7 linked regions of the Macaca fascicularis genome follow. The protein of the gene in region 1 interacts with the protein of each later gene in a biochemical or structural test. Links are inferred from orthologs where the notes say so. Each region holds a gene or a part of one and is shown in the gene's direction. Other genes may lie near its edges. The genes, in order: PDZK1, CFTR, CRHR1, ABCC4, RPS6KA1, SLC34A1 and CYSLTR2.

Region 1 (3,910 bases):
GTTGAAAAGGTATGCCCCAAAGGGTACTTTTCTTGCCCTATCTTCCACTCTATTCTCATTGGAGGTGACAGAAAGACAGGGGTGGTAGGGGACAGCATGAGTTTATGATGGGAAAAAATATCCAGCTGAGTTGCCCCTTCATATTAAGGGTGAACAGACTCTCACTAGTGGTATAAGCAGTGTTAATACAGGTTTTGGAATAAAGCCTTCCCTAATTTCACATAAGGTCTACAAAACTATTAACCTTACCTTTTGGATCTTGTTTGTATCGGATTGGGAGCCCCCTCTGAACTGTCTGATTGAGACAGGGTCTCACTGTGTTACCCAGGCTGGAGTGTAGTGGCACCATCTCAGCTCATTGTAGTCTCGGCCTCCTGGGCTCAGATGATTCTTCCACCTCAGCTTCCTGAGTAGCTGGGATTACAGGTGTGCACCACTGCGCCTGGCTAATTTTTGTATTTTTTTTTTTTTTTTTTGTAGAGACAGGGTCTCACTATGTTGGCCAGGCTGGTCTTGAACTCCTGAGCTCAAGTGATCTGCCCGCCTTGGCCTCCCAAAGTCTGGGATTATGGGCGTGTGTCACTGTGCCCTCTGAATTTACAATAAATTCACTGTTGAGCCGATAATACTGAAATGCTTTAATAGGAAGTGGGATATAACTGAGATTTTCCTTTGAGGTCATATGGAACCTTAAAAATTGACCAACCTTCTCTTCTCTTTGTAGAATGATTTTTTGACGTGGACTCTTACTTTCTTTTCTTTTCCAAACTCCTGTTCTAGCTTTTATCTAGGTACCTTTATGGGTTTTCTGAATTCTAGCTCCTACTTGGGCTCAGTTAGTACCTATGTGGGTGGGTCATATTTAAATAAGGGAAAACAACTCTAGAAGTGGAGATAGATACGTATCAGTTAGCTGGCAGGACATAGTGTAACAGCTTAAACTCAGGCCTTCTATCCCCTATCTTTTGTTGAACCTAGAGACTGTGTGCCTTTATACAGAAACGTTCTTATCCCCCAGCATTGTTCTTGGGGGTTGATATTGTTCCTCATCTGTGTGTGTTGTTACAGGTGAAGAAGTCAGGAAGCCGTGTCATGTTCCTGCTGGTGGACAAAGAAACTGACAAGCATCACCTTGAGCAGAAGATACAATTCAAAAGAGAAACGGCTAGTTTCAAACTGTTACCCCACCAGCCCCGAATTGTGGAGATGAAGAAAGGAAGCAATGGTTATGGTTTCTATCTGAGGGCAGGCTCAGAACAGAAAGGTAAGGTACAACAGCAGGAAACTTGGCAGTGTAACCAACAAATTCCTCATCCCAGTCTGACTCCAGAGTTCCATTAGACTCCCAACTTCCAACCAGATGCATGAGGGACACAGCAAGAAACTAGAAGGCACAGCTGGGTCAGAGTCTATGTCACATGAGGCTCTGATATTGGGCATCAAAAGTTTCCGTAGCATTATGATAAGGCAGAATTTGGGATCTGGGCAATGGTATCCTGGTAAGCTGGCTCTCTGGCGGGGGGCGGGGGTGGTGGTGGAATACAAATTGGTAGCATTTGTTGGTTTTTGTGATGTAAATACTCCTCCCATGTCCAATTTCAACTTACTAACAAGATGTCACTGAACACAACGAAGTGTTGCACAGAATTGGCTTTTGTGAGCCAGTATAGCACACCGCTGGACCTGAGGCCGAGGTGTGGGTGAGGATCTGGGACTCAGAACCAGGAGTCCTCCTTCTTTGCAACTCAACAGGGAGAACACTAGGTTCTTTCAGGGAAGGTAAATACATAAAAGAACATGAGTTCAGGCCGTATAAACTGTTACTCACCCATAAGTTGTTATTTTCTTTTCACTTTATGTTTACATTAATTTATCAAATATTAATTTGGTTTGTGTTTTGTAAAAACATCCTCAGTGCCTTGGAGAAACAATATCATATGAATCAGACAGGAATTCTTTAGTCAAGGAGTCTACCATTTAGTAGATAAGAGATAAGGGACTTATGTCCACAATGAAGGGAGATAGAGGTTAAGTACCTTCATACAGGGGCAGATTAAGCGCTGTGATAATTCAAGGTTAGAGTAAGCTTTTCTCACTAAAAAGGTACCAGAAGCCCTCATAGCAGGGGTGGCCCTTGAGTTCAGGCTTTGTAACATGAATAGATTTGGGAAAGTAGGCAGGGCTGGGACAAGGAAGATCATTCCAGGAAGGGGGGAGTCATGTGAACACTGTCAGGAGACATGGGCACAGTTTAGTTGGCACATGATGCGTGGTGCAAGAATTCGTTGGAAGGGTAGGCTGGAGAGAGGTGACAAGGGAACTTCTATGCAAGATTGACGAGTTTGGACTTGGCTCATTAGATGATGGGGAGTTATTTTTTGAGCAGTATAAGGGAGAAGAAAAAAACAGCCTATAATGTCTTGGGGGCTTTGCACGTCTCAATTACTCCTAACAATTATGCGGGAAGAACTGCTGAAATTGAGGGCTTGGAGAAGATACAGTAATTATGTAAGGTCAAATAGTTGTTTAGTTCCAAAGCCCATGCTCATTCTGTTGCACCAGGGAGTGACGTGGTTAAGAATGTGCATCAAGATGGATCTGAAGGCCGATCTGTATTGATTGGGGAAGGGACAGCAGTAGGAAGGTGCTGTCATAGTTTACATAGAATTCTAGGCAGGAACTAACACAAACTGCATTCAGGGTGGAGGAAGTGGGATGTGTAAGATATTAAGGTAGCATGAGAGGACTTAGCAATCATCTAGATATGGGGACTGGATGCTGGGGAAGAATCAGTTGCCAAGTGTTGGTGGCTAGGAGGATGTTGCTCCACTAACAGGTAACCAAGAGGAGGGGCTTTGGGGTGGAGAATGGGCAGAGCTGATTTTTGGTTTGAATACATTACAGTTGAGAGATCTATGAGATGTTTTGTTGGAGATACCCAGCAACTAGCTGGAAAAGGGAAACAGGAGCTTGTTTAAAAAAAAAAAAAAAAAAAAAGAGCTCTGGCAGCATCTGGTAAAGATACCAGAAGGCCAAAGGCACATGGAGGCATGTATATACAAATACATTCCCAACTGAATACACCCAATTGCTACTAAAATGCCAGCATGGGTTTCTTAAGGTCCAAAGTTTTAGGTTTTGTTCTTTATTCTTTCCTGTCCTTTAATGACAGCTTTTACATAAGAAGAATGGCTACAAGTACGCCCACTGACTTCCTGGGAACTTATAGTCTTTTAATATGCTATTGTGCCAAAATTGAATATCAGGCACTTTTAGTAACATGATTATTTCCATTAAGACCCCTTCATTGTTAATGGCTGGGTTAATTTCTGGAGCGAGTTCTGAGCAGGAAATGAGCCTAGATAGTGTGCTTATAAACTTCCTGGGATGCTGGTGGAAGGGACTATAGTTGTACTCAGCATGCTTTTTACATCTATTTCATCAGGGCTTTAGGCTCCAGCAGAAATTTTTTTTTTTTTTAAGGGACTTACTGATAATTTTATTTTTTGGGGTGGGGGGAGGACAGGTCAAATCATCAAGGACATAGATTCTGGAAGTCCAGCAAAGGAGGCTGGCTTGAAGAACAATGATCTGGTAGTTGCTGTCAATGGCGAATCTGTGGAAACCCTGGATCATGACAGTGTGGTGGAAATGATTAGAAAGGGTGGAGATCAGACTTCACTGTTGGTGGTAGACAAAGAGACGGACAACATGTACAGACTGGTAAGTAATACAAGGCCATATATTCATGCATTAAGGCTGGGCCCATTCCCTCATGCCCTCAACCTTTGCACTGAGTTAGGACTTTGTTCCTTAAACTGGAAGAGGCCTAACAATCATCATTAAGGCTGAACTGAAGCTCAACTTAAATTGGTAGTGATAAGAGAATGCCAAATGATTGATAAATGGG
Region 2 (3,910 bases), on another chromosome or scaffold:
AACCAAAAACTCCCACACGGTATAAATGGTATTTAAGTATAATACCATTCTCATTGTGAGGAGAAAAAATAATTGTTTCTCTCTAGATGCTGGAAAATAAAACAACTAGAAGCATTCCAGTATAGTATTGACTGTTAAAAGAAATATTTATGAATCTAAGATGATAGTAAGCTAGATGAATAGAACATAATTTTCATTACCTTTACTTAATAATGAATGCATAATAACTGAATTAGTCATATTATAATGTTACTTATAATATATTTGTATTTTGTTTGTTGAAATTATCTAACTTCCCATTTTTCTTTTAGACTTTAAAGCTATCAAGCCGTGTTCTAGATAAAATAAGTATTGGACAACTTGTTAGTCTCCTTTCCAACAACCTGAACAAATTTGATGAAGTATGTACCTATTGATTTAATCTTTTAGGCACTATTGTTATAAATTATACAACTGGAAAGGTAGAGTTTTCCTGTATCAGATAAGTGGTTAAGTCTTGCTCAGCTCTAGCTTCCCTATTCTGAAAACTGAGAAAGGTCAGTTGTATAGCAGAACACCATCCTGGGGTCTGGTAGAACCACCCAACTCAAAGGCACCTCAGCCTGTTGTTAATAAGATTTTTCAAAACTTAATTCTTATCAGACCATGCTTCTTTTTAAAACTTTAAATCTGTTATATACTTTGGCTGAATATGATACTCTGAGCAATTCTTGTTCTGTGTTGTCTTATGTGATAAATAAATTCAAGGTCCTTGGGACATATGATGTGTTTTATTTATCTTTGCACATCCAGTACTTAAAATAGCATGAGACCCACAGCTGGTACAAAATTAATTACTGTTGAATTGAGCAAATATTTGTTCTAAATGTCTCTATCAAATGACAGAGTTGTGCAGTTGTGTAGACTGAGTCTCTGGAGAGAGTTCTTTGTTCTCTCATGTTCTGTGCTGTGGTTCTTGCTTTATGCAAAAAAAGTAAGTTACTTAAAACCTGGACTAATGATAACTTAACATGTCCAATCTCAATTCCACTGAATAAAAATATGCTTAAAAGTGCACTGGCTTGAAATTTGTTCTTTGGGGAAACCTATTCTATGTGTAGAATGTTTAAGCACATTGTTATGTGCTCCATGTAATGATTACCTAGATTTTACTGTGCTCAGAACCACGAAGTGTTTGACCATATAAGCTCCTTTTACTTGCTTTTTTTCATATATGATTGTTTGTTTCTAGGGGTGGAAGATAAAATGACACCTGTTTTTGCTGTGCTTTTATTTTCCAGGGACTTGCATTGGCACATTTCGTGTGGATCGTTCCTCTGCAAGTGGCACTCCTCATGGGGCTAATCTGGGAGTTGTTACAGGCCTCTGCCTTCTGTGGACTTGGTTTCCTGATAGTCCTTGCCCTTTTTCAGGCTGGGCTAGGGAGAATGATGATGAAGTACAGGTAGCAACCTATTTTCATAGCTTGAAGGTTTTTAAAATTATGTTTTCAAAAAGTCCACTTTAGTAAAACCAGGACTGCTCTATGCATAGAACTGTGATCTTCAGTGTCATTAAAAAAGACTTTTTTTTTTTTTTTGGAGATGGAGTCTAGATCTGTCACCCAGGCTGCAGTGCAGTGGCACGATCTTGGCTCACTGCAACTTCTGCCTCCTAGGCTCAAGCAATTCTCCTGCCTTAGCCTCCGGAGTAGCTGGGATTAGCGGCGCATGCCACCACGCCCGGCTAATTTTTGTATTTTAGTAGAGACAGGGTTTCACCAGGTTGCCCAGGATGGTCTCGAATGCCCGACTTCAGGTGATCTGCCCACCTCAGAGCCTCCCAAAGTACTGGGATTACAGGCATGAGCTACCGCGCCCGGCCTAAAAAAGACTTTTTAAGATGGTATAAATATTACTTCCTGTATCAATGGGACATTTTTTTTGCTTCTCAGTCTCCTGAATTTGTTTATAAATATGTTGATTCAGTTCATTTTTTAGATTATAAAACAGTTAAAAAATGGATAAAACATTTATGTGAATTAAAGGGAATACCTAATTTTTGTGTAGAGTTGATTAGCTTTTACTACTCTGGTTTATGGATCATCACACCAGAGCCTTAGTTACTTTGTGTTACAGAATAACTAATACTAGTGAATGAATGACTTACACAAGTCACTGCTTATGATAAAGGGCTTGAATTTGTCAGCTAGAGTATGATAGAAAGTATATAAATTTTGGAGTCAAATAGCACTTTGTTTGAATCCCAGATTGCATACTTACTAGTTATGTGACCTTAGTCAAGCCACTTCATCTCACTGAGTCTTTGCTTTTTTCATCTCTAAAATAGAGATACCCACTGCTTATAGACTGTTGTAAGGGATAGAGATGGCAGATGGAATGAGTCTGTACAATATCTGACACATAGGAGGCATTTACTAAACAGTAATTATTATTTTTGTTACCATCTATTTGATAATAAAATAAATGCCCATCTGTCGAATAAAAGAAATATGACTTAAAACCTTGAGCAGTTCTTAGTAGATAATTTGACTTGTTTTTACTATTAGATTGATTGATTGATTGATTTATAGGGATCAGAGAGCTGGGAAGATCAATGAAAGACTTGTGATTACCTCAGAAATGATTGAAAATATCCAATCTGTGAAGGCATACTGCTGGGAAGAAGCAATGGAAAAAATGATTGAAAACCTAAGACAGTAAGTTGTTCCAGTAATTTCAATGTTGTTAGTAATTCTGTCCTTAATATTTAAAAAATATGTTTGTCACAGTAGACTTCCACTTCTTATTTGATGTTTCTGACAATCAAATGATTGCATTTAAGTTCTCTCAATATTCATACATTAGTTGCACAAATTCACTTTCATGGGCTGTAGTTTTATGTAGTTAGTCCAGGGTGTTATTTTGCGCTGCAAGTATATTATATTGATACCTTATTAAAGAATTTCCTACATGTGTTCACTGCTGCTCAATACATTTATTTCATTAAAATAATGATCAAGATATTGAAGGCTGATTGGTAACTCAGATGGAACTGGTAGAGTATACAATTCTGAACCAAATAAATGATTCTCTATTATTATATCTTAATTTATGTGTTACGGTACATTAACCATGAAAAAACTTGTGTCTGGTTAGAATATGTTTGCTCTTCCTTAACTTGGGAATGACATAGGGTAGTATTCACAAATTGGGTTCCTATAAATCCTCCACTTGAAGTGAAGTCAGTTCAAGTAATGAAAGCTACCTCCTGAGATAGCATCAGTACTTGGCACCTATCTCTAGTGTTCTTTCACCTCATATAACCTTTCACTGATTAGTAAGGATTATATCCAACAAAGAAAGTACAGCGCAGACTGAGTTATGATTACTGAGATAAATCTGGGCAAGATGTAAACTATAGCATTTCTGTAGCAATGAGACCATTTTTCTTCAGTTGAGCTCCATGTTCTACAAACTCCAATCTAAAAAGGTTCTAGGAGACTCAGTGAAAGTTGATACACTGTTCAAGGAACAAATAATTTCAGCACATGAGAATTTCACAGGGAAAAATATACTAAAAAGAGAAGTACCCTTATGGATGGTGTCAGTATGGGTTATGAGGAATTCAGGCTGCTGAGTCCAGTACACAATGGTAACTGAGCTGCAGGTGTGTGATTGGAACAACAAAAGAAATGCTGAAATATTAAGTCCTTTGCCATGTAAACAGAAAGAGTAAAAGAGTATTTATTTCCCAAACATTATTGGTCACCTGTTTTTGTTATGCATTTCAAGATAAATCCAGGAAAGGAATTGCATTTTCTTTCCAGAAAACAAGTTCTTGGGGGAATTGTTCAATTGGTAGATCTTCTTTATCTCATTAACAAGTCAGTGTTCCATCACACTTGCTCTCTGCATCACTCTTCTGCAAA
Region 3 (3,910 bases), on another chromosome or scaffold:
TCCTCATCTATAAAATGGACATACTTCCTCAAAGGGCTGTTGTGGGGTGATATCAGTCCATCTATATTAAGCATTTAGAATCGGACCTGGCACATAGAGCAAATGCTGTATAAATGTGTTCTCGTAATATTAAGACATCTTAATAGAAGAGTCCGTGAATTTAACAGAAGTGGACCTAGATGATCCCAGAGGCTTCTTCCAGCTCTGAAGTTCTTTGGTTCCTTATGAAACGGACTCAGGTGTTTCCAGTCGTGCCTGGAAACTTGATTTCTGCTGCAGTGGTGCTCAGCCTTGGCTCACATTAGAATCACCTGGGATGCTTCGAAAAGTACCAGTGCCCAGGCTTCACCGCCAGAGAGTCAGGTGTAATTAGTCTGGGGTGTGGCCTGGCACCCAGAATTCTTGAAAACTGCCCAGGTGATTCTAATGTGCAGCTAAGATTGAGAACCACTGAGAGAGGGGGGGGCAGAAAAGGTGGACGTGGATGGCAGGGGAGCCCCAGGACCTTGTTTGCCAAACAGGTGTTCCCAGGAACCTATCTGACTGACTGACCTGGCGTCCAAGTGGCCTCCACCACAGTGACAAGCCCTCTCCTCACCCCACGGAGGGGAGGGGGCCTGCATGGCTTCATTGGGCTGACGAAGGAGCCTGGAAGATTATCTTGCGTGTTTAGGAGGTTGACTCTCTCCTGACTCAGGCTAGCTGAGGCCTTGGGAGGCCGAGGCGGGTGGATCACTTGAGGTCAGGAGTTTGAGACCAGGCTGGCCAACATGGTGAAACCCCATATCTATTAAAAAAAAATACAAAAATTAGCTGGGTGTGGTGGTGCGCACCTGTAGTGCCAGCTACTTGGGAAGGCTGAGGCAAGAGACTCTCTTGAACCCAGGAGGCAGAGGTTGCAGTGAGCCAAGATCGTGCCACTGCTCTCCAGCCTGGGCAACAGAGCAAGACTCCACAAGCCTCAAAAAACAAAGCAAAACAAAAACTGTTTGGGCTAAAGGAGAAAGTGAGTCTGAGCGGCTCTGAAGCCCCACCTGGTGGTGAAAATTCAACACTGCAACAGAGGGGATCTGGGTGTGAGAAAGCAGAAACGAACTTGCAGACCAGAGGCTCAAGGACTGGACCCAGCCCACAGAAGCTGTGTGTGGCCGGCAGGGTGTTTTCTGGAAACTCGATTTTGTAGCCAAGCTTTAAAAAATCCAAAGGTTTCGTATACAAATCTCAATTTCTGGCTTATGAGATCTAGCCACTGGGGGTCTTCTTACCCACGGGGACATAAGGGCTTCCAGTTTGTCTGGTCCCCACCCACTCCCCAGGCCTCCCTGGAGCTTGCTGGAGGGACACTCAGGAAAATGCAAAGCAATTACCCCCTGCAGCAGGTAGAACCTGTGCAGATGTTCCTCTCAAGGTCGTTCGGGCTGCGATTGGACAGGTTCAGGCTGAGATTGAGAACTGCTGGGTGCCCACTGGGTGACACGTGTGGTACCACTCCCACCAGCAGCCCCCCAGAGGACATGCTGGGCCTCAGCCACAGCCAGGGGACCGTGAGGAGGAGCCAAGGATGCAGCTTGCGTATTGAGCTCACGCCCATTCCCGGCCACGCAGTCTTTCCCACTGTCTGCCTCCTGCCCCGATGCTTGCTTCCAACTTTGCATCTCATCACAGAGGATGCTGTCCATTCTGCAGATGGGACAACTGAGGCTTGGCAGTGGGATCAAGTGACTTGACCTTCTGCCAGGGTTGGAATTGGGACATCTACCTCCTGGCTTCCAGCCCCAGTCCTATCCTGGCCAAGCACTGTCCCTCCCCATGCCACCGAGGCAGATGCAGATGATGACTCCTCCCCTTTCCTCTGTGGCCTTCTAGGTGCTGGTTTGGCAAAAGGCCTGGGGTGTACACCGACTATATCTACCAGGGCCCCATGATCCTGGTCCTGCTGGTAAGACCCTGGGTAGGGGCAGGAGACAGGGCCCAGTGGGGAGGGGCGATCAATGCCAACCGTGGACAGAAAGGACCCCTCTGCCTAGAGGTGGGGGCCACCCAAGGAGGGGGCATGGGCCAGGGATGTGCAGCTGCTCCTGAGGAGGAGGGAGAACAGCAGGAGCACTGAGGCCAGAGAGGCCAGAACTGAGAAGCCTGGGTCCCCAGCCTCTTGCACACTCCAGCCTGCTGGTGTGCTCAAATTGCAGATCAATTTCATCTTCCTTTTCAATATCGTCCGCATCCTCATGACCAAGCTCCGGGCATCCACCACGTCTGAGACCATTCAGTACAGGTAACCGGGTACCACCTCCCCCAGGCCTCCCCCTGATGAAACCCCTGCTCCCCATGCCTCTCACGTGCCAGAGACCTGCCACTCCCTCCCCCGACCTGGCCCTCTGCTGAGCCAGCGGGCAGCCAGTCCTGGGGTGGGCTGTGACTCCAAGCCTCCCCACCTGCCCCACCCCAGGAAGGCTGTGAAAGCCACTCTGGTGCTGCTGCCCCTCCTGGGCATCACCTACATGCTGTTCTTCGTCAATCCCGGGGAGGATGAGGTCTCCCGGGTCGTCTTCATCTACTTCAACTCCTTCCTGGAATCCTTCCAGGTACAGCCCTGGAGGGGCACACTGGCACCTCCTTGGGTGGGGATTCTCCCAAGCAGATGCCTGGAGGGTAGGAGGCCAGGGAGAAGCAAGGGGCAGCCCAGAGGCTGGGTGGGCAACACCTGTGACCGACCTTTGACGCCTCCTCTCTCCTCCCCAGGGCTTCTTTGTGTCTGTGTTCTACTGTTTCCTCAACAGTGAGGTGAGGACCTGGGGGCCCTGCGGCGGGGCTCAGGGCTGCAAGGCCTGTTGGGGCTGGCGATAGTCTAGAGCCTTCTCCTCCCCTCCCAGGGCTGGCTCTCTCCCTCCCTGTTCCTCCTAGGTCCCTAGGGGGATGCTGCTGGGAGCCCCAGGCCGGCCCCTCCCACCTGTCCACTCCCACAGTGACAGCTCTCTCCTTTGCTCTCAGAGGCCGCTGGCACCAGGCTGGAAGCCAGAGCTCCAGTATCTTTGATGAGCCTGTGACAACCAGGAAGGGCTGAGCCCTGGGCAGGGGATATGTGTGGGTTGAGAGCAGGAAGCCTTGATGGCAAAGGCCATATGGTGTCTTCGCGTGGGTTAGAAAAGGGTGCCCCTTCCCCAGGACATTTGAGAAACCTGTTCCGGCAAATATGCAAAGCAGCCATGTTAAGGCTGTGAGTGCCATCGCCTCCTGAGGACTTCTGTGTACTCAGCTGACCTGCACAGCCTCTTACCTGAGCAGCTGCTCATGCCGACCCAGGGGAGGGAGGGGGTCCTGAGCGCCAGGCTCAGATGTCATGCTCCTTCCTGTGCCCACAGGTCCGCTCTGCCATCCGGAAGAGATGGCACCGGTGGCAGGACAAGCACTCGATCCGTGCCCGAGTGGCCCGCGCCATGTCCATCCCCACCTCCCCCACCCGTGTCAGCTTTCACAGCATCAAGCAGTCCACAGCAGTCTGAGCTGGCAGGTCATGGAGCAGCCCCCAAAGAGCTGTGTCTGGGGGGATGATGGCCAGGCTCCCTGACCACCCTGCCTGTGGACGCGACCTGTTAGGTCTCATGCCCACTCCCCCAGGAGCAGCTGGCACTGACAGCCTGGGGGGCCACTCTCCCCCTGCAGCTGTGCAGGACTGTAGCTCATGAGTGGAAAGTCATCTACAGGACTGGGCCAGTCCCGGGGCCTCTGGCTTCCCTGCCCAGTCCTCCGTGGAGAAGGGACGTGGAAATGAATGGAAATGGGCTGCTAGACACCCACAGCAGCACGCGCGTCCCTCCAAGGCTGTCTTCTCCCAGAGCACAAGAAGTCCAGCCCACTGGGACCTGGGGCTGCCCTCGGCAACTGTGGGGAGGCCGTTTGCTGCCCCGGG
Region 4 (3,910 bases), on another chromosome or scaffold:
TGGCCATGCTGGTCTCAAACTCCTGACCTCAGGTGATCCACCCGCCTTGGTCTTCCAAAGTGCTGGGATTTCAGGTGTGAGCCACCGCACCTGGCCTGTGGGGCAGTTTTAGAGTAAAGACCATGAAGGTGCAGCTCATGGGGTCTGTGTCCAAGTCTGGTTCTCACACCTTTTTCCAGCAGGGCCCATGGCCAGTGGAGGCTTGTGGAGTGCTTCCTACCTGTGCAGATATGCCTGGTCCTACCCCCCTATCAGTGTTAGGTTTCTTTCCTGGAATATCCTTCTCAATTTACTCATTCCTTCAATTCTTATTGCATAAGGCTTATCTCAGTTTTTCATGTGTAATAAGACTACCGATACGGTCACCAACATCTATGTGATAATGATCGCCATTTGCAACACACTATTACCATTTAAAAAATATTCTTCAGTACCTAACATGGGCTCTGGCTGAGAACAGAGCACCCGGTTGTGTATCAGGTTGAATTGTATTAGATTTGTCAACTAGGATTCCGGACCTAAGTATAATCATAATTTAAGATCAGTTACCTTTTCTGGATTAGAATTAGATTAGGTTAACGTTGTCACCTGCAAATGTATCTCTCTGAAATTCTTTATTTTTATTTTAGGGTAAAATGGTGCAGAAGGGGACTTACACTGAGTTCCTAAAATCTGGTATAGATTTTGGCTCCCTTTTGAAGAAGGACAACGAGGAAAGCGAACAACTTCCAGTTCCAGGAACTCCCACGCTGAGGAATCGCACCTTCTCCGAGTCTTCGGTTTGGTCTCAGCAATCTTCTAGACCCTCCTTGAAAGATGGTGCTGTGGAGACCCAAGACGTGAGTTTACCTCCTGTTACAACATGGCCTGGTTTTGTTGACTGCTAATGGCCTTATGGATCTTTAGTCTCCTCTGTTTGAAGCATCGTCTTTTGTCCCAAAGTAGATTCTGTGGTTTCAAGGCCCTGTTCCGTGATATTGGTAGATTAAAACAGAACCAAGGCAAACAACTCTGGTTGGAGTAATCCTTTGCGTGTAGGCTGGGAATGTCATGGAGATGAGTAGCAGGTGTGTGTACTGGTGCAAGTCCCAAGCTGTGTGTGACTCACGCTAATATTACAATTCTTGAATTTACTGTAGTGAAGTCCTAGTTAGTCTGGTGGCCCCCGACTTCTCTTTGCATCCAGAGGCATAATTTGAAGACCGCCTTAGAGAAAGTCCTGCTGTGGGCCACATGAAGTTAGCCACTTTTCCTATATATTGGAATGTTCTGACGCCGCACGTGGCTGAGGGAGGTATTTTGCCCTGTTGTCAGATGGTTTATGTTAGGCTAGAAGTAGCACGTGCAAAGACCCAACAGTTGCTGACACACAGCAGCCCATCTTCCTTCTTTACCTTTCAAGGGTAGGAGCTGCATCTTACTCATCTTGGTATTCCCAGTGGCCAACATAGAGCTGCTCAGTGCATCCTCAGAGTATGTGAATCTCATGCCTTCTAAGTCCTCCAGGCAGAAATGTACCAGAGCTCACTTAAAAACATAGATATTCCTTGCCACACTAACCCTCACTATCCAAATCCAGGAGCCTGAAGGATTCTTGCAGATATTCAGATTAGGCCCTCACATGCCAAATTCTCAGGAGTCAATTTCTGAAACTCAGGAACCAAACAGATTAGGATCATATGCTATCCCTTGCTTTCCAAACTCTGGTTACTCAGACTCACTGCTTGAACCCAGTTACTGTATTGAGCTCATGTTTTGACCTTCTGCTCTTTTATGCTTCCATATTGAGTGATGCAGTTGAGAGTTCCATATCTTTCTGTACATGATTTTGGAACAAGTTTCTGTATGTATACTTGAATTTGGATGTGCTCGGTAAGTGCTGGACATTCTGATGTCATCCTGCCAGCAAGCCATGCCACAGTGTACAAATGATATTTCCTTACCTCTAGTAGAACCCTGAAAGTGGGATGGCTGAGTCCAGGGATTAGTGCATGTAGCTGGGTGTGGTGGCTCATGCCTGTCATCCCAGCACTTTGGGAGGCTGAGGCAAGAGGATCACCTGAGGTCAGGAGTTCCAGACCAGCCTGGCCAACATGGTGAAAACCTGTCTCCACTAAAAAATACAAAAATTAGCCAGGCGTGGTAGCAGGCATCTGTAATCCCAGCTACTCAGGAGGCTGAGGCAGGAGAATCGCTTGAACCTAGCTAGGAGGCAGAGGTTGCAGTGAGCCAAGATCGCTCCACTACACTCCAACCTGGGCAACAGTAGTGAAACTTCGTCTCAAAAAATATTAAATAAATAAAAAGTAAGTACATGTATAGTTTGGCTGGATATTTCCACACCCTTCTCCACAGGAGATGGATCATTTTGGACTTCTGCCTGTTTCCCCACAGCTTTGTCAACAGAGTGCATTGTCATCTTTGGGAACAGTTTTGTATACGATTTTGTCTCTTACCACCCTTTCCTTTGCAGACGGAGAATGTCCCAGTTACACTCTCAGACGAGAACCGTTCTGAAGGAAAAGTTGGTTTTCAGGCCTATAAGAATTACTTCAGAGCTGGTGCTCACTGGATTGTCATCATTTTCCTTATTCTCCTAAACACTGCAGCTCAGGTAAATAATGACATTTGTTTTGTGCCCTCAAAATGATATTTACAGTACCTGTGTTTATGCTATTTTGACTGCATCTTGCAGTTCACTTGGGATCTGAATTGAAATGTGCTGTCTTTGGGGAACAAAGTGAGGGCTGCCTAGTGGTGTCCCATTACAAAGACCTTCTGCGGGAAAAAAAGGGTATCTTTCAATGATTTTAAAATGGAACATGCGTTTTCTTGAGTTCTTGATATCTGGGAGTTTGGGCTCAGCGTAGACCTGAGCTGGAAGAACTATGCAAGTTCTCTGAGCTTTTTATTCTTTCTATTTTTTTCTTTTTCTCTTTTTTTCTTTTTTTTTTTTTTTTGAGACGGAGTTTTGCACTGTTGCCCAGGTTGGAGTGCAGTAGCGCAATCTTGGCTCACTGCAACCTCCGCCTCCCGGGCTTAAGCAGTTCTCCTATCTCAGCCTCCGGAGTAGCTGGGACTACAGGCACATGTGCCACCATGCCTGGCTAGGCTCATTTTTGTATTTTTAGTAGACCTAGGGTTTCATTATGTTGGCCAGGCTGGTCTTGAACTCCTGGCCTTAAGTTGATCTGCCTGCCTCAGCCTCCCAAAGTGCTGGGGTTGCAAGCATGAGCCACCATGCACAGCTTTGAGGGCTTTCTTTCAATTGTCCATGTTAGTGATTGAGAGTTTTGAGTTGGTAAGTCATGCCCAAGTTTGATTTTTGTCTTTGTTGTTTCTCACCTCCTAGGTTGCCTATGTTCTTCAAGATTGGTGGCTTTCGTACTGGTAAGTTATTTCTGACGTATGAAATAGTCAAACATCAGTAAGAAGACTCGCTTTTCCGTAGAGTTAGGGGGAGATATTTGTTGATCCTTCTCCTAATCCTCACTTAGTTTACCCGAAGAAAAGTTAGAGTGCTTGCTGGTGGAGTGTAACCTGTGGTGGTCTCCACCCATGTCTGATCTGCGGCATCATGTTCACAGACAGTTTCGGGAACTGAAAGTCGTGATTTAAATTGAATTTTTATGAGGTAGATACACACAGGACTATATGAGCTGAGAATCATTTTCCAGCATAAAGCATTTCTCTCAAATTGTGGTTCATTTTTTTAAAAAAAGGTATTTCTCTAAATTCCATATATAGCTTAATATTTTTTTCTCCCCATGTTCCATAGGGCAAACCAACAAAGTACGCTAAATGTCACTGTAAATGGAGGAGGAAATGTAACCATGAAGCTAGATCTTAACTGGTACTTAGGAATTTATTCAGGTAAAGTTAAATCATTTGGTCTATTATATGAGAGGCT
Region 5 (3,910 bases), about 95 Mb from region 1:
GCGGCACCATACTCCAGCCTAGGCGATGAGAGCAAAACTCCATCTCAAAAAAAAAAAACAAAGGAAAAAGAAAATGTAAGGTGACCAAAATAGTTAACTCTGGTGTGGTCCCTGTCGTGTCTAGTGAGGAAAATACAAAAATTAAAATAGAGGAAGGGGCCCACTGATGTGAAAAGTGCTCTGAAGGGAACCAGCTCTGTAGCCCTGTGTGCTGACACAGAAGGCGTGTTGGAAGGCAGCTGCAGCTTCTACTTGTAGCAAGGGCCGAGGATTGTGTCCCGAACAAGACTCTGGAAAGACGTGCAGGAGGAGCACATTGGCCAGATCTCCTAAGATAAGCAACTGTGAGCATCAATTCTAGAATGGCAGTGACGATTGAATAGAATTCATACTAGATGGATGGACTAGTGAAGGCTTTGGGACTATGAGGCTGGAGAGGAAACTGCCGATCCAGTACATGGACCAAAAAAGCCTTTAGTTTTGCACTGTGTGTATTGCTCAGACATTTTGTCTGGTCTTAGTAAGCATTCCTTAGCCTTCCACCTCTCCTTTTAATAGAAGTCAAGGCCGGGTGTGGTGGCTCATGTCTGCAATCCCAGCACTTTGGGAGGTCAAGGTGGGTGGATCATTTGAGGTCAGGAGTTCAAGACCAGCCTGGCCAACATGGTGAAACCCTGTCTCTACTAAAAATACAAAAAAAAATGAGCCGGGTGTGGTGCGCCTGTAATCCCAGCTACTCGGGAGGCTGAGATACAAGAATTACTTGAATCTGGGAGGCAGAGGTTGCAGTGAGCCAAGATCACACCACTGCACTCCAGCTTGAGTGACAGAGTGAGACCCTGTCTCATAAAAAACAAACAAAAAAACAAAGGCCACATGAGAGGTCTCAGTCAAGGGATAATCAATATTGTAATAAACTTAAGTTGAAACACAGTGTCCAAAATGAACCTAAGCAGCCAAGTCCAAAAGCCTATTTTTTTTTTTTTCTTTCCCACGACAGAGTCTCGGCACATGCCACCAGGCTGGCTACTTTTTTGTATTTTTTACTAGAGACAGGGTTTCACCACGTTGGCCAGGATGGTCTCGACCTCCTGACCTCATGATCTGCCTGCCTTGGCCTCCCAAAGTGCTGGGATTACAGGCGTGAGCCACCACACCTGGCCCTAAAATTTGTATTTTTTTTTTTTTTTTGAGATGGAATCTCACTCTGTCGCCCAGGCTAGAGTGCAGTGGCGCAATCTCGGCTCACTGCAACCTCCGCCTCCTGGGTTCAAGCCATTCTCCTGCCTCAGCCTCCCTAGTAGCTGGGACTACAGGTGCCGCCACCACGCCCGGCTAATTTTTTTTGTATTTTTAGTAGAGACGGGGTTTCACCGTGTTAGCCAGGATGGTCTCGATCTCCTGACCTTGTGATCCGCCCGCCTCGGCCTCCCAAAGTGCTGGGATTACAGGCGTGAAAAATTTGTATTTTTAATGCAGACAGGGTTTCACCGTGTTGGCCAGACTAGTCTTGAACTCCTGACCTCAAGTGATCCACCTGCCTTGGCCTCCCAAAGTGCTGGGATTACAGGCATGAGCCACCCCCGGCCCAAAAGCCTGTTCTAATCACACTAGAAAAATCAATAGGCCGGGCGTGGTGGCTCAAGCCTGTAATCCTAGCACTTTGGGAGGCCGAGACGGGCGGATCACGAGGTCAAGAGATCGAGACCATCCTGGCTAACGTGGTGAAACCCCGTCTCTACTAAAAAAAAAAAAATACAAAAAACTAGCCGGGCGAGGTGGCGGGCGCCTGTAGTCCCAGCTACTCGGGAGGCTGAGGCAGGAGAATGGCGTAAACCCGGGAGGTGGAGCTTGCAGTGAGCTGAGATCCGGCCACTGCACTCCAGCCTGGGTGACAGAGCGAGAGCAAGACTCTGTCTCAAAAAAAAAAAAAAAAGAAAAATCAATAAAACATGATACTTGGTGGGCTTCAATAAATTTAGAAGGCAACCTGAAAAAGAGAAGAGTGCTCTGAAGGAGAAGCACTGTAGGAATCCAGAAGGCCCTAACTCAGCTTGGCAAATTAGGGAGTGCTTCCTAGAGGAGGTGAGGCCTAAGCTGAGCCAAAGAACCTGCTGAGAGTCAGAACTGCCCGACAACTTTTATTCTTTGAAAAAAAAAAAACATATATGAAGGGTGCCCGCCTAGACCCATGGATCGGGATTTTAGGCCCAGGGAATCTGCCTCTCTAGCTCCCCAGGTAGCCGTTCTTACCAGCCCTGACTGGAATTTGGGAATTTTTATGCCAGATGGAAAGCAGGGCTGGTGAAGGCGTGCCAGGGGGAGGTGCAGAGGCAAAGTCTGAGGATGTGACAAAACAGAGCACCTGGGGAGCAGGTTGCTCAGACTGGCTGGTTAACAGGCCTTGATGGGGCGTGGTGGGAGAAGGGACCAGAGAGAAGGGCAGGGTGCCAAGGCCCCAGCTGTGGGCACTGCTGTGAGGGGTGGGAGCAAGGAGCCAGCCAAGGAGCCAGAAACAGACTGGGAAGGAAGAAACCTGAGGATTGAGTGTCCCCAAAGCCCTGGGTGAGGGGGCCTTGGGAGCTCAGGCCTGGAGGAACAAGTGGAAAAGAGATCCCTTAGCGGGGGCTTGGGAGTGACTGTGTTGAGTGTCTAGACTACTGGTGACTTCCTTTCTCGTCTGGCCAGTACGTGACCGTGTCCGGACCAAGATGGAGAGAGACATCCTGGCTGATGTAAACCACCCATTCGTGGTGAAGCTGCACTATGGTAAAGCTGCAGGCCCTATCTGAGCTCCTCCCCTACCCATCTTTCACCCTTGCCTGTGGTCTGTACACTCTCCCACCGCCTGCCTGGTAGGCCAAGGGAGCCAGGGCTGAAGGGGCAGGTCGTAAGGCCCGGGTGACTCTACCATTGCCTTTCTCCCTCTCCCCAGCCTTCCAGACCGAGGGCAAGCTGTATCTCATTCTGGACTTCCTGCGTGGTGGGGATCTCTTCACACGGCTCTCAAAAGAGGTGAGCTGACATCTACTGCCAGAGGGCCCCGGCATGGAGCTGGGGGACAACAAGGTCTCCCATCCCAGGGCCCTGTACAGAATGTGTTCAGATGGCTTGAATCTGGAACCACCCAGGCCTGCCTAGCAGCCCCTGGCCCGGGAAATACCATTCACCCTCGGATGGAGGCCATACGCTGGCAAGGTCTCTGAGAGTTTCTCCCAAGGAAACTCTGGGGAGCTAAGGGTTCCTCTCACCTCCGCACCTGCATTCTTCCAGGGCTGCTCTGAGCAGAGGTGTGAAGATACGGGAGAAGCCCAAAGTCACCCAGAGAGCCAGACACTTCAGCAGTCATCTCCCATATGTCATCCAACAGGATTTTGAACCAATATAAAAGGATTTGAGGCTGGGCGCAGTGGCTCACACCTGTAATCCCAGCACTTTGGGAGGCCGAGGCGGGCGGATCAGGAGGTTAGGAGATCGAGACCATCCTGGCCAACATGGTGAAACCCCGTCTCTACTAAAAATACAAAAATTAGCTGGGTATGGTGGAGTGTGCCTGTAATCCCAGCTACTCAGGAAGCAGAGGCACAAGAATCGCTTGAACCTGGGAGGCAGAGGTTACAGTGAACCAAGATCGTGCCACTGCACTCCAGCCTAGTGACAGAGCGAGACTCCGTCTCAAAAAATAAAAAAAAAAAAAGATTTGAGCTAGAAAATGGGGTCATTCATACAATTCAGACTTTAAAGAGAATCTAGCCTTTTTTGTTTTTTTTTAATTGTAATTTTTTTTTTTTTTTTTTTTTGAGATGGAGTTTTGCTCTTGTCACCCAAGCTGGAGTGCAATGGCAGGGTCTCAGCTCACTGCAACCTCCGCCTCCCGGATTCAAGCGATTCTCCCGCCTCAGCCTCCCGA
Region 6 (3,910 bases), on another chromosome or scaffold:
GAGGACTTGCAACCTGGGAGGCAGGGATTATCACATCCCCCATTTCACAGATGAGGAAAACTGAGCCCCAGAGAAGTCCAGTGGCTTGTAGGATACAAATCCTGGTGGAATCCTGACTCTCTATCTGGTTGCCTCTCCCACTCACCGGTCTGACATTCTACTATATATGTCTGTTTCCCATGCTGCCCATCAGGCCTGAAGGCCACCAGGTGACCACAGCCCCCTGGAGACCACCCCAGAGGTAGCGGGTGTTACTCTAAGGAGGAGTTCTCCTTTTCGCCACCAGATGGTGCTGCTGGCACAGTGCTCTCCCTCTGCTTCCAGAAGAACAAAGGCCCTAGCGCGCCCCTTCTTCTGTGGGGGAAACTACTGCGCAGGCCCACATCCTGACAGGCTTCTGTGAGCTTCATCACCTCCTTCAGTTCCCAGAAGGGGTCTCTTTAATTTAGGGTGTCCCTGTAGGCACTTAAATCCCAACTCCCTCTTCCATAATGCTGCCAAATAGCCTCTGGGAAAAGGTGGGCAGCATTATGGACTTCATGCTGCAGAGGAGGAAACTGAGGCCCAGAGAGGCTAAGTGTTTGCTCCAGTGTCACACAGCTGGGAGTGGCTCAGCTGGGGTATGGACCTAGGGCTGTCCACAGGCCAATTCTGCTCTTCCCACAGAGCCCACCACCTGCTTCAGGTCCCTCCGGCCTCTCCTACCCAACCCCAGGCCCAGGCAGGGATGGGCACATCTTGGGAAGATGCCCCCAGATCCTGGGCCTCCCAGCTCTTTTATCTAAGCTGGAGTTTCCGTCTTCTCCCTCTACCCCACAAGGAAGCCCCAGGGCCTGCTCCCTCCTGGCAGTTCCCTCTCCGCCTGGCTTTGTCCCTCCTGCCACCTTTACCTTCCTCTCTTATACTTTAGGGTCTCTGGCCTCCCAGCCAGGGCCACACAGCCCCACGCAAGAAGGTCAAGGTTCTAAAAACCCAGAGGGCTTGGCCCTGCTGCTGCCCCTGCCAGTCCTAAGTCGGGACCCCAGTAAAGTTCCCCATTCTCCTCCAGCCTCCCCAGGACCCCACAGTCCTCCCCACAGAGACCTCTGGGCCCAGCCCAGGTTAGGTCAGTGGGGCACAGGTTGACCAGGCACCCACTCATTCAAGGGGTTGTCTGCTCCCTCAGCCCCCAGGCTGGGTACTCCCAGGAAGGTCCAAGCAGATTCCTCCCCAACAGGGCCAGGGTTCTCAGGTTCGTCGGCAGGGGGCACTGGTCCTGACCTAGGAAGTCAGTCACACACACAGCCTCCCCGCCATGTGGTCCTGAGCAGGCCCAGGGAGGGAGACGGTCACTCCGTGTAGGAAGACAGTTTACCGAAGGCTCACTATGAGCCAAGCCCTGTGATGAGCGCTTTAAACACATTTCCCCCTGCAGCCTTCACAGCAGCTCTTCTCTTACCCTGCGTTAGAGAAAACGGGCTCTGAGAGGTGGCATGGCTTACCCAGGGTGGTTGGTATAAGAAGCAGGATTTGAACTTACATCTGCCTAACAGCAAACAGCTGGCTCGCTCTCTCCCTTACCCTCGCAGTAGTTACCGTCGCTTTTCCAGCTTGGTTTTCCCATCTAGCCCAGCACAACCTATTTTTTCCAGGCTTCTTGGCCTGCCATTCAGGCCCAGTCTTGATGGGTCCACAAGGCCCTGATGTGGCGAACTGGGAGCACACAAGAGCACATTGCCCCATTCTAGGGAGCACATCCCGCTAAAATAAACCCGGATATTACACCAGATGCCATAAAATTTCTTACCTTGGCCAGCGCAGTGGCTCACACCTGTAATCCCAGCACTTTGGGAGACCGAGGGGGGGCAGTGAATCACCTGAGGTCAAGAGTTTGAGACCAGCCTGGCCAACATGGCGAAACCCCGTCTCTCCTACAAATACAAAAAAATTAGCCAGGCGTGGTGGCGGGCGCCTGTTAACCCTAGCTACTCAGGAGGTGGAGGCGGGAGAATCGTTTGAACCCAGGAGGCGGAGGTTGCAGTGAGCCGAAATTGTGCCACTGCACTCTAGACTGGGCAACAGAATGAAAACTCTGTCTCTAAATAAATAAATAAATAACTTACTAGCCCAACAAGGCTAAAAATTAGTTGTCCACAGGCCAGGCTGGCCTGCTTCTGCTGACCTTCTTTGAGTTGTAAAGATAACTCTAAGTGGTTGCCAATATTTACAGATTGGGAGTTTGTTGCTTTTGGGGTTTGTTTTTGTTTTTGTTTTTTTGAGATAAGGTCTTGCTCTGTCACTCAAGCTGGAGTGCAGGGCCGTGATCAGAGCTCATGCCAGCCTCGAACACTTGGGCTCAAGAGATCCTCCTGCTTCAACCTCCTGAGTAGCTAGGACTACAGGTATACACCACCATGCCCTAATTTTCTTTGTGGAGACAGGGTCTTGCTATGTTGCCCAAGCTGGCCTCCCACTTCTGGCCTTGAGTAAGCCTCTCACCTCAGCCCCCAAAGTGCTGGGATTACAGCCATGAGCGACACTGCACCTGGCCCAGATTGGGAGATTTTATCTAGAACTTCAGAGTTGTGGCTTCTCTCATAGAAATTGGGCAATTTAGCCATGCCAGGCTGCGTCCCTGGATGGTGACAGTGACCAGGAGCTGAGTAACTGCTGACTCTATAAGCCCAGCAGAAACTCTCCCCACCTCTTCCACACATAGCCCGAGCTGCTCACTTAGGTTACCTGCCCAGCCCTGTGGCCCTCTGAATTGTACGGCCTCCCTGGGGAGCCCCTTTGTTTCACTGACAGTAGGTGACAGAAGAGATGTGTGGGCTGGGCCCTCTGTCCCCCCACATCCCCTGAGAATAAGGAATTGATCTAGAGGAGAATGGAGCTTGGGCTAAGGGTGTCTTGGAGGAGAGGAAGGAGCCAGGATGCTGGGGAAGGGGCACCAATAAAGGGATTGGTAATAAAAGATGAGGAAGGGGGAGTTTTCAGACAAAGAGGAACACGTTCAGCAGCACGGAATGCCACTGAGAGAGGGAGGAAAAGAAAGACAGGAAGCCACAGATGTGGCCCTGGGGAGAGCTGGGCCAGTGGAACGACAGGGCAGAACACACAGAGGGCCAGATTCTTGTGTGGCAGCTACTTTCATCTACATGTCCTCAGTGGAAGAGACAGGCTCAGAGAGGGCAAGAGACCCATGCATGGTCACAGAGCAGGAGGCCCATCTCCATCTTCCCCATCCTTCCCTAACCCCCATCTCGGCTCCAACCTCAGGCTATGTTTTCCTAATTCACTAAGTCACCCTCCTCTTAATGTAGGCTCCCACCTCCATGTCGAGAGCAGAGGCCAACTCCAGCCAGACCCTTGGAAATGCCACCATGGAGAAATGTAAGTGCCTGAAACATGGTGTCCAGAATGGCAGGGGCAGAGCCTAGCAGTGGCAGGGCAATCCTGCACCAGCTGCCAGCCACTATTGTGTCCAGCCCCAGGAAGGACAGCTGTCAACCAGCCCATCTCCTGAGCCTGGGTCAAGCTCCGGTGTTAAGGCTCAAGGAGCCTGAGGTGGGGCCTTAGGCTCAGAGTCCAACCAGGTGGCAAAGGTGGGGACCTGGGAGCCAGGTATGGGGTCAGCTGTCAGGAGCTCCACCCCCTGCAGGCAACCACATCTTTGTGGACACCAGCCTACCGGACCTGGCTGTGGGGCTCATCCTGCTGGCAGGATCCCTGGTGCTGCTGTGCACCTGCCTCATCCTCCTCGTCAAGATGCTCAACTCCCTGCTCAAGGGCCAAGTGGCCAAGGTCATCCAGAAGGTCATCAATACCGGTGAGCTGCGAGCAGTTGACTGGGCAGGGCCGCAGGATGGGCCTTTCCAGATCCTGCTAAGTCCTGTGACTGCCTTGATCTGGGTAAAGCCTACCATCTCTG
Region 7 (3,910 bases), on another chromosome or scaffold:
GTTTCTTTTTTTAGAGTTTTTCAATTAAGAATTTAATTTCCTTAATAGTTATGGGGATATTCAAATTATCTACTTAATGTTCAGTGAGTTATTTTTCATTTTATGAGGAATTAGTCTAGTTCCTCTAAGTTGTGAAATTTATGTTTGTAGGGTTATTCAAAGTTTTTCTCATTATTCTTTTGATGCCTCAGGTATCTATCGATAGTGTTATCTCCTGTTTTATTCCTGACAATGGAAATTTATGTCTGTTCTATTTTTTTTTGTACCTCTTGCTAAAGATTTGTCAGGAGATGTAATATTTTATTTAATATATGCAATTTTTAGTTCATTATTGTCTTCATCTGTTCTGCTACTATAAGAAAGTTACCTGGCCAGGCATGGTGGCTCACGCCTGTAATCTCACACTTTGAAGGCCAAGGTGGTAGGATCACTTGAGCTCAGGAGTTCAAGACCAACCTGTGCAACATGGAGAGACAGCATCTCTACAAAAAAGAAAAATAGCTGGGCATGGTGGCATGCACCTGTAATCAATTGTATTGATTGTTTTCAAATAACCAGTTTTTCATTTCATTTTTTCCCTATTTTTTTCTGTTTTCTATTTCTTGATTTCTGCTCTTTACTATTTCCTTCCTTTTGCTTGCTTTTTTCTTCTTGAGGATGGAGCTTATATTCTTATTTCGTGACTTTTCCTTTTTGTAATGTATGCATTTAGTGTTATACAGTTTTGTCCTAATACTGCATTTGCTACATCTCACAAATTTATATTTTCACTTTTATTCAGTTCAATATATTTTTTGTTTCCCTTGAGACTTCCTCTTTGACCCATGGATTATTTAGAAGTGTGTTGTTTAGTTTTCAAGTGTTTTGAGGGTTTCCTGTTATCTTTCTGCTGCTGATTTCTAGTTTGATTCCCTTGTGGTTAGAAAACACATTCTATATTATTTCAATTATTTGAAATCTATCGAGGCTTGTTTTATGTCCCAGGATGTGGTTTATCTTGGTATGCGTTTTGTGAACACTTAAAAGCTTAAGTATTTTGCTCTTGTTGGGTGAAGTGTTTTATACATGTCAATTTGATCCTGTTTGTTGATGGTGTTTTTAGTTTTTCTATACCTTTGTTGAGTTTTTGTCTATTTGCTTCATCAATTGCTGAGAGAGGTCCTTGAAGTCACCAAGTATCTCTCCTTTCAGTTTTATCAGTTTTGCTTCAGTTTTGCCACTCTGTTGTTTGGTGCATACCCATTTAGAATTGGTATGTCTTCTTAGTGGTTAAACCCTGTTATTATTATATAGTGTCCCTCACTGTCTCTGGCAATGTCCTTTGCTTTGAAGTCCATTTTATTTGATACTAAAAGAGCTATCCCTTATTTCCTTTGATTTGAATAGCAAGCATTTTTCCATCCTTTTACTTTCAACCAGCCAATACTGCTATTTGAAGTGTTTGTTGTAGGCAGTACATAATTGGGTCATTTAAAAAATATATTCCATTCCTCTATCTTTTAATTGGTATATTTAGATTACTTATATTTAATGTAATTATTGATGAATCAGGATGTCTGCCATTTTATTTTTTGTTTTCTGTTTTTATTGTCTCTCTTCTTTTTCCTGCGTTGTTGTTGGTTATCTGAATGCTTTTTAGAATTCCATTTTTATTTATCTGTAATGTTTTTGAGTGTATCCCTTTGTATATCATTTTAGTGGATGCTCTAGGTATTTTCTCTCTCTATATATATATATATAAAGATATATATATGTATATATATAAAGATCTATATGTATATACATAAAGATATATATATAAAGATATATATGTGTATATATATCTTATGATAGTCTATTAGCATCATCATTCTACCAATTCAAGTGAAGTATAGAAAACTTATTTCCTCTTACATCTCTTTACCTTCCCTCATTTATAATATAATTGTCTTAATAATTCCTCTACATCCATTTAAAACCACATCAGGCAGCATTAACGTTTTTATTTCAAAACATTAAATGTAACTTAGACTCTAAAAGAGAAGGACAGCCTATTGTATTTACACATATTTTGGCTTACCATGTTCTTTCTTATTTTCTAATATTCTAAGATTCCTTATTTTATGAATTCCTTTCTGCTTAGATAACTTCCTTTAGTCATTATTTGTTGTTGTTGTTGTTGTTGTTGTTGTTGTTTTTAGATGGAGTTTCACTCTAGTTGCCCAAGCTGGAGTGCAATGGTATGATCTCAGCTCATTGCAACTTCTGCCTCCCAGATTCAAGCGATTCTCCTGCCTCAGCCTCCCAGGTAGCTGGGATTACAGGCACCTGCCACTAGGCCCAGCTAATTTTTGTATTTTTAGTAGAGACGGAGTTTCAACATGTTGGCCAGAATGGTCTTGAACTCCTGACCTCAAGTGATCCACCAGCCTCAGCCTCCCAAAGTGCTGGAATTACAGATGTGAGCTACCATGCCCAGCCTGGTCATTCTTTTAAGATAGATCTGCTGACAACAAAGTCTCAGTTTTCTGTCTGAAAAAGTCTTGATTTTCTCTTTGTACTTGAAGGATGTTTTTGCTGGACGTAGAATGCTAGGTTGGCAGGTCTTTTCTTTCAGCATTTGAGAAATGTGCCATTTCCTTCTGTCCTCCACAGTTTCTGATGAGAAATCTGTTATTCAGTAGTTTTAGGCTGCAATATCACAGGGAGGTATTCATGTCAACATGGGCACCAGGTCACAAGTTCCCTAAGTTTGAAGTGTCAACTTCGACCAAACAAATTAATGGCTATTCTATATTCAAAAATCAGGAAGTTTAAATTTATTATGAAGTGTAATGCAGCATATATTAAAGACTTAACCAGCGTTTTAAAACTCAACTTTCAAAGAAAAGATAGTATTGCTCCCTGTTTCATTAAAACCTAGAGAGATGTAATCGGTAAGCAAGAAGGAAAAAGGGAAATTCACAAAGTAACTTTTTATGTCTGTTTCTTTTTAACCCAGCATGGAAAGAAAATTTATGTCCTTGCATCCATCCATCTCCGTATCAGAAATGGAACCAAATGGCACCTTCAGCAGTAACAACAACAGCAGAAACTGCACAATTGAAAACTTCAAGAGAGAATTTTTCCCAGTTGTATATCTGATAATATTTGTCTGGGGAGTCTTGGGAAATGGCTTGTCCATATATGTTTTCCTGCAGCCTTATAAGAAGTCCACATCTGTGAATGTTTTCATGCTAAATCTGGCCATTTCAGATCTCCTGTTCATAAGCACACTTCCCTTCAGGGCTGACTATTATCTTAGAGGCTCCGACTGGATATTTGGAGACCTGGCCTGCAGGATTATGTCTTATTCCTTGTATGTCAACATGTACAGCAGTATTTATTTCCTGACCGTGCTGAGTGTTGTGCGTTTCCTGGCAACTGTTCACCCCTTTCGGCTTCTGCATGTCACCAGCATCAGGAGTGCCTGGATCCTATGTGGGATCATATGGATCTTTACCATGGCTTCCTCAGTAATGCTCCTCAACAATGGCTCTCAGCAGAAGGGCAGTGTCATATCATGCTTAGAGCTGAATCTCTACACAATTACTAAGCTGCAGACCATGAACTATATTGCCTTAGTGGTGGGCTTCCTGCTGCCGTTTTTCACACTCAGCATCTGTTATCTGCTGATCATTCGGGCTCTGTTAAAAGTGGAGGTCCCAGAATCGGGGCTGCGGGTTTCTCACAGGAAGGCACTGACCACCGTCATCATCACCTTGATCATCTTCTTCTTGTGTTTCTTGCCCTATCACACACTGAGGACCCTTCACTTGGTGAAATGGAAAGTGGATATATGCGAAGACAGGCTGCATAAAGCTGTGGTTATCACACTGGCCTTGGCGGCAGCCAATACATGCTTCAATCCTCTGCTCTATTACTTTGCTGG

Evidence for each region.
Region 2: the proteins of PDZK1 (region 1) and CFTR form a complex in vitro, tested with the Homo sapiens proteins (2 studies listed by BioGRID and IntAct, with this or other methods). The link is inferred for Macaca fascicularis from reciprocal best matches to the Homo sapiens genes PDZK1 and CFTR.
Region 3: the proteins of PDZK1 (region 1) and CRHR1 form a complex in vitro, tested with the Homo sapiens proteins (2 studies listed by BioGRID and IntAct, with this or other methods). The link is inferred for Macaca fascicularis from reciprocal best matches to the Homo sapiens genes PDZK1 and CRHR1.
Region 4: the proteins of PDZK1 (region 1) and ABCC4 form a complex in vitro, tested with the Homo sapiens proteins (2 studies listed by BioGRID and IntAct, with this or other methods). The link is inferred for Macaca fascicularis from reciprocal best matches to the Homo sapiens genes PDZK1 and ABCC4.
Region 5: the proteins of PDZK1 (region 1) and RPS6KA1 interact in a test that uses a peptide from one of them, tested with the Homo sapiens proteins (2 studies listed by BioGRID and IntAct). The link is inferred for Macaca fascicularis from reciprocal best matches to the Homo sapiens genes PDZK1 and RPS6KA1.
Region 6: the proteins of PDZK1 (region 1) and SLC34A1 form a complex in vitro, tested with the Homo sapiens proteins (2 studies listed by BioGRID and IntAct, with this or other methods). The link is inferred for Macaca fascicularis from reciprocal best matches to the Homo sapiens genes PDZK1 and SLC34A1.
Region 7: the proteins of PDZK1 (region 1) and CYSLTR2 interact in a test that uses a peptide from one of them, tested with the Homo sapiens proteins (2 studies listed by IntAct, with this or other methods). The link is inferred for Macaca fascicularis from reciprocal best matches to the Homo sapiens genes PDZK1 and CYSLTR2.

What each region holds. Positions count from the first base shown.
Region 1 is NC_088375.1:113,739,898-113,743,807, forward strand, and holds part of PDZK1 (Na(+)/H(+) exchange regulatory cofactor NHE-RF3), read left to right. Parts: coding exon 1-9; intron 10-1,068; coding exon 1,069-1,264; intron 1,265-3,526; coding exon 3,527-3,723; intron 3,724-3,910. UniProt on the Homo sapiens protein: A scaffold protein that connects plasma membrane proteins and regulatory components, regulating their surface expression in epithelial cells apical domains.
Region 2 is NC_088377.1:158,981,697-158,985,606, forward strand, and holds part of CFTR (cystic fibrosis transmembrane conductance regulator), read left to right. Parts: intron 1-311; coding exon 312-401; intron 402-1,280; coding exon 1,281-1,444; intron 1,445-2,572; coding exon 2,573-2,698; intron 2,699-3,910. UniProt on the Homo sapiens protein: Epithelial ion channel that plays an important role in the regulation of epithelial ion and water transport and fluid homeostasis. Mediates the transport of chloride ions across the cell membrane.
Region 3 is NC_088390.1:67,419,194-67,423,103, forward strand, and holds part of CRHR1 (corticotropin-releasing factor receptor 1), read left to right. Parts: intron 1-1,866; coding exon 1,867-1,939; intron 1,940-2,189; coding exon 2,190-2,275; intron 2,276-2,449; coding exon 2,450-2,585; intron 2,586-2,742; coding exon 2,743-2,784; intron 2,785-3,362; coding exon 3,363-3,503; coding exon of another isoform or gene 3,504-3,552; 3' UTR 3,553-3,910.
Region 4 is NC_088391.1:86,099,639-86,103,548, reverse strand, and holds part of ABCC4 (ATP-binding cassette sub-family C member 4), read left to right. Parts: intron 1-629; coding exon 630-839; intron 840-2,473; coding exon 2,474-2,614; intron 2,615-3,352; coding exon 3,353-3,390; intron 3,391-3,778; coding exon 3,779-3,873; intron 3,874-3,910. UniProt on the Homo sapiens protein: ATP-dependent transporter of the ATP-binding cassette (ABC) family that actively extrudes physiological compounds and xenobiotics from cells.
Region 5 is NC_088375.1:208,563,937-208,567,846, reverse strand, and holds part of RPS6KA1 (ribosomal protein S6 kinase alpha-1), read left to right. Parts: intron 1-2,688; coding exon 2,689-2,769; intron 2,770-2,935; coding exon 2,936-3,015; intron 3,016-3,910. UniProt on the Homo sapiens protein: Serine/threonine-protein kinase that acts downstream of ERK (MAPK1/ERK2 and MAPK3/ERK1) signaling and mediates mitogenic and stress-induced activation of the transcription factors CREB1, ETV1/ER81 and NR4A1/NUR77, regulates translation through RPS6 and EIF4B phosphorylation, and mediates cellular proliferation, survival, and differentiation by modulating mTOR signaling and repressing pro-apoptotic function of BAD and DAPK1.
Region 6 is NC_088380.1:184,329,605-184,333,514, forward strand, and holds part of SLC34A1 (sodium-dependent phosphate transport protein 2A), read left to right. Parts: intron 1-3,302; coding exon 3,303-3,372; intron 3,373-3,640; coding exon 3,641-3,808; intron 3,809-3,910.
Region 7 is NC_088391.1:27,835,737-27,839,646, forward strand, and holds part of CYSLTR2 (cysteinyl leukotriene receptor 2), read left to right. Parts: intron 1-2,980; coding exon 2,981-3,910. UniProt on the Homo sapiens protein: Receptor for cysteinyl leukotrienes. The response is mediated via a G-protein that activates a phosphatidylinositol-calcium second messenger system.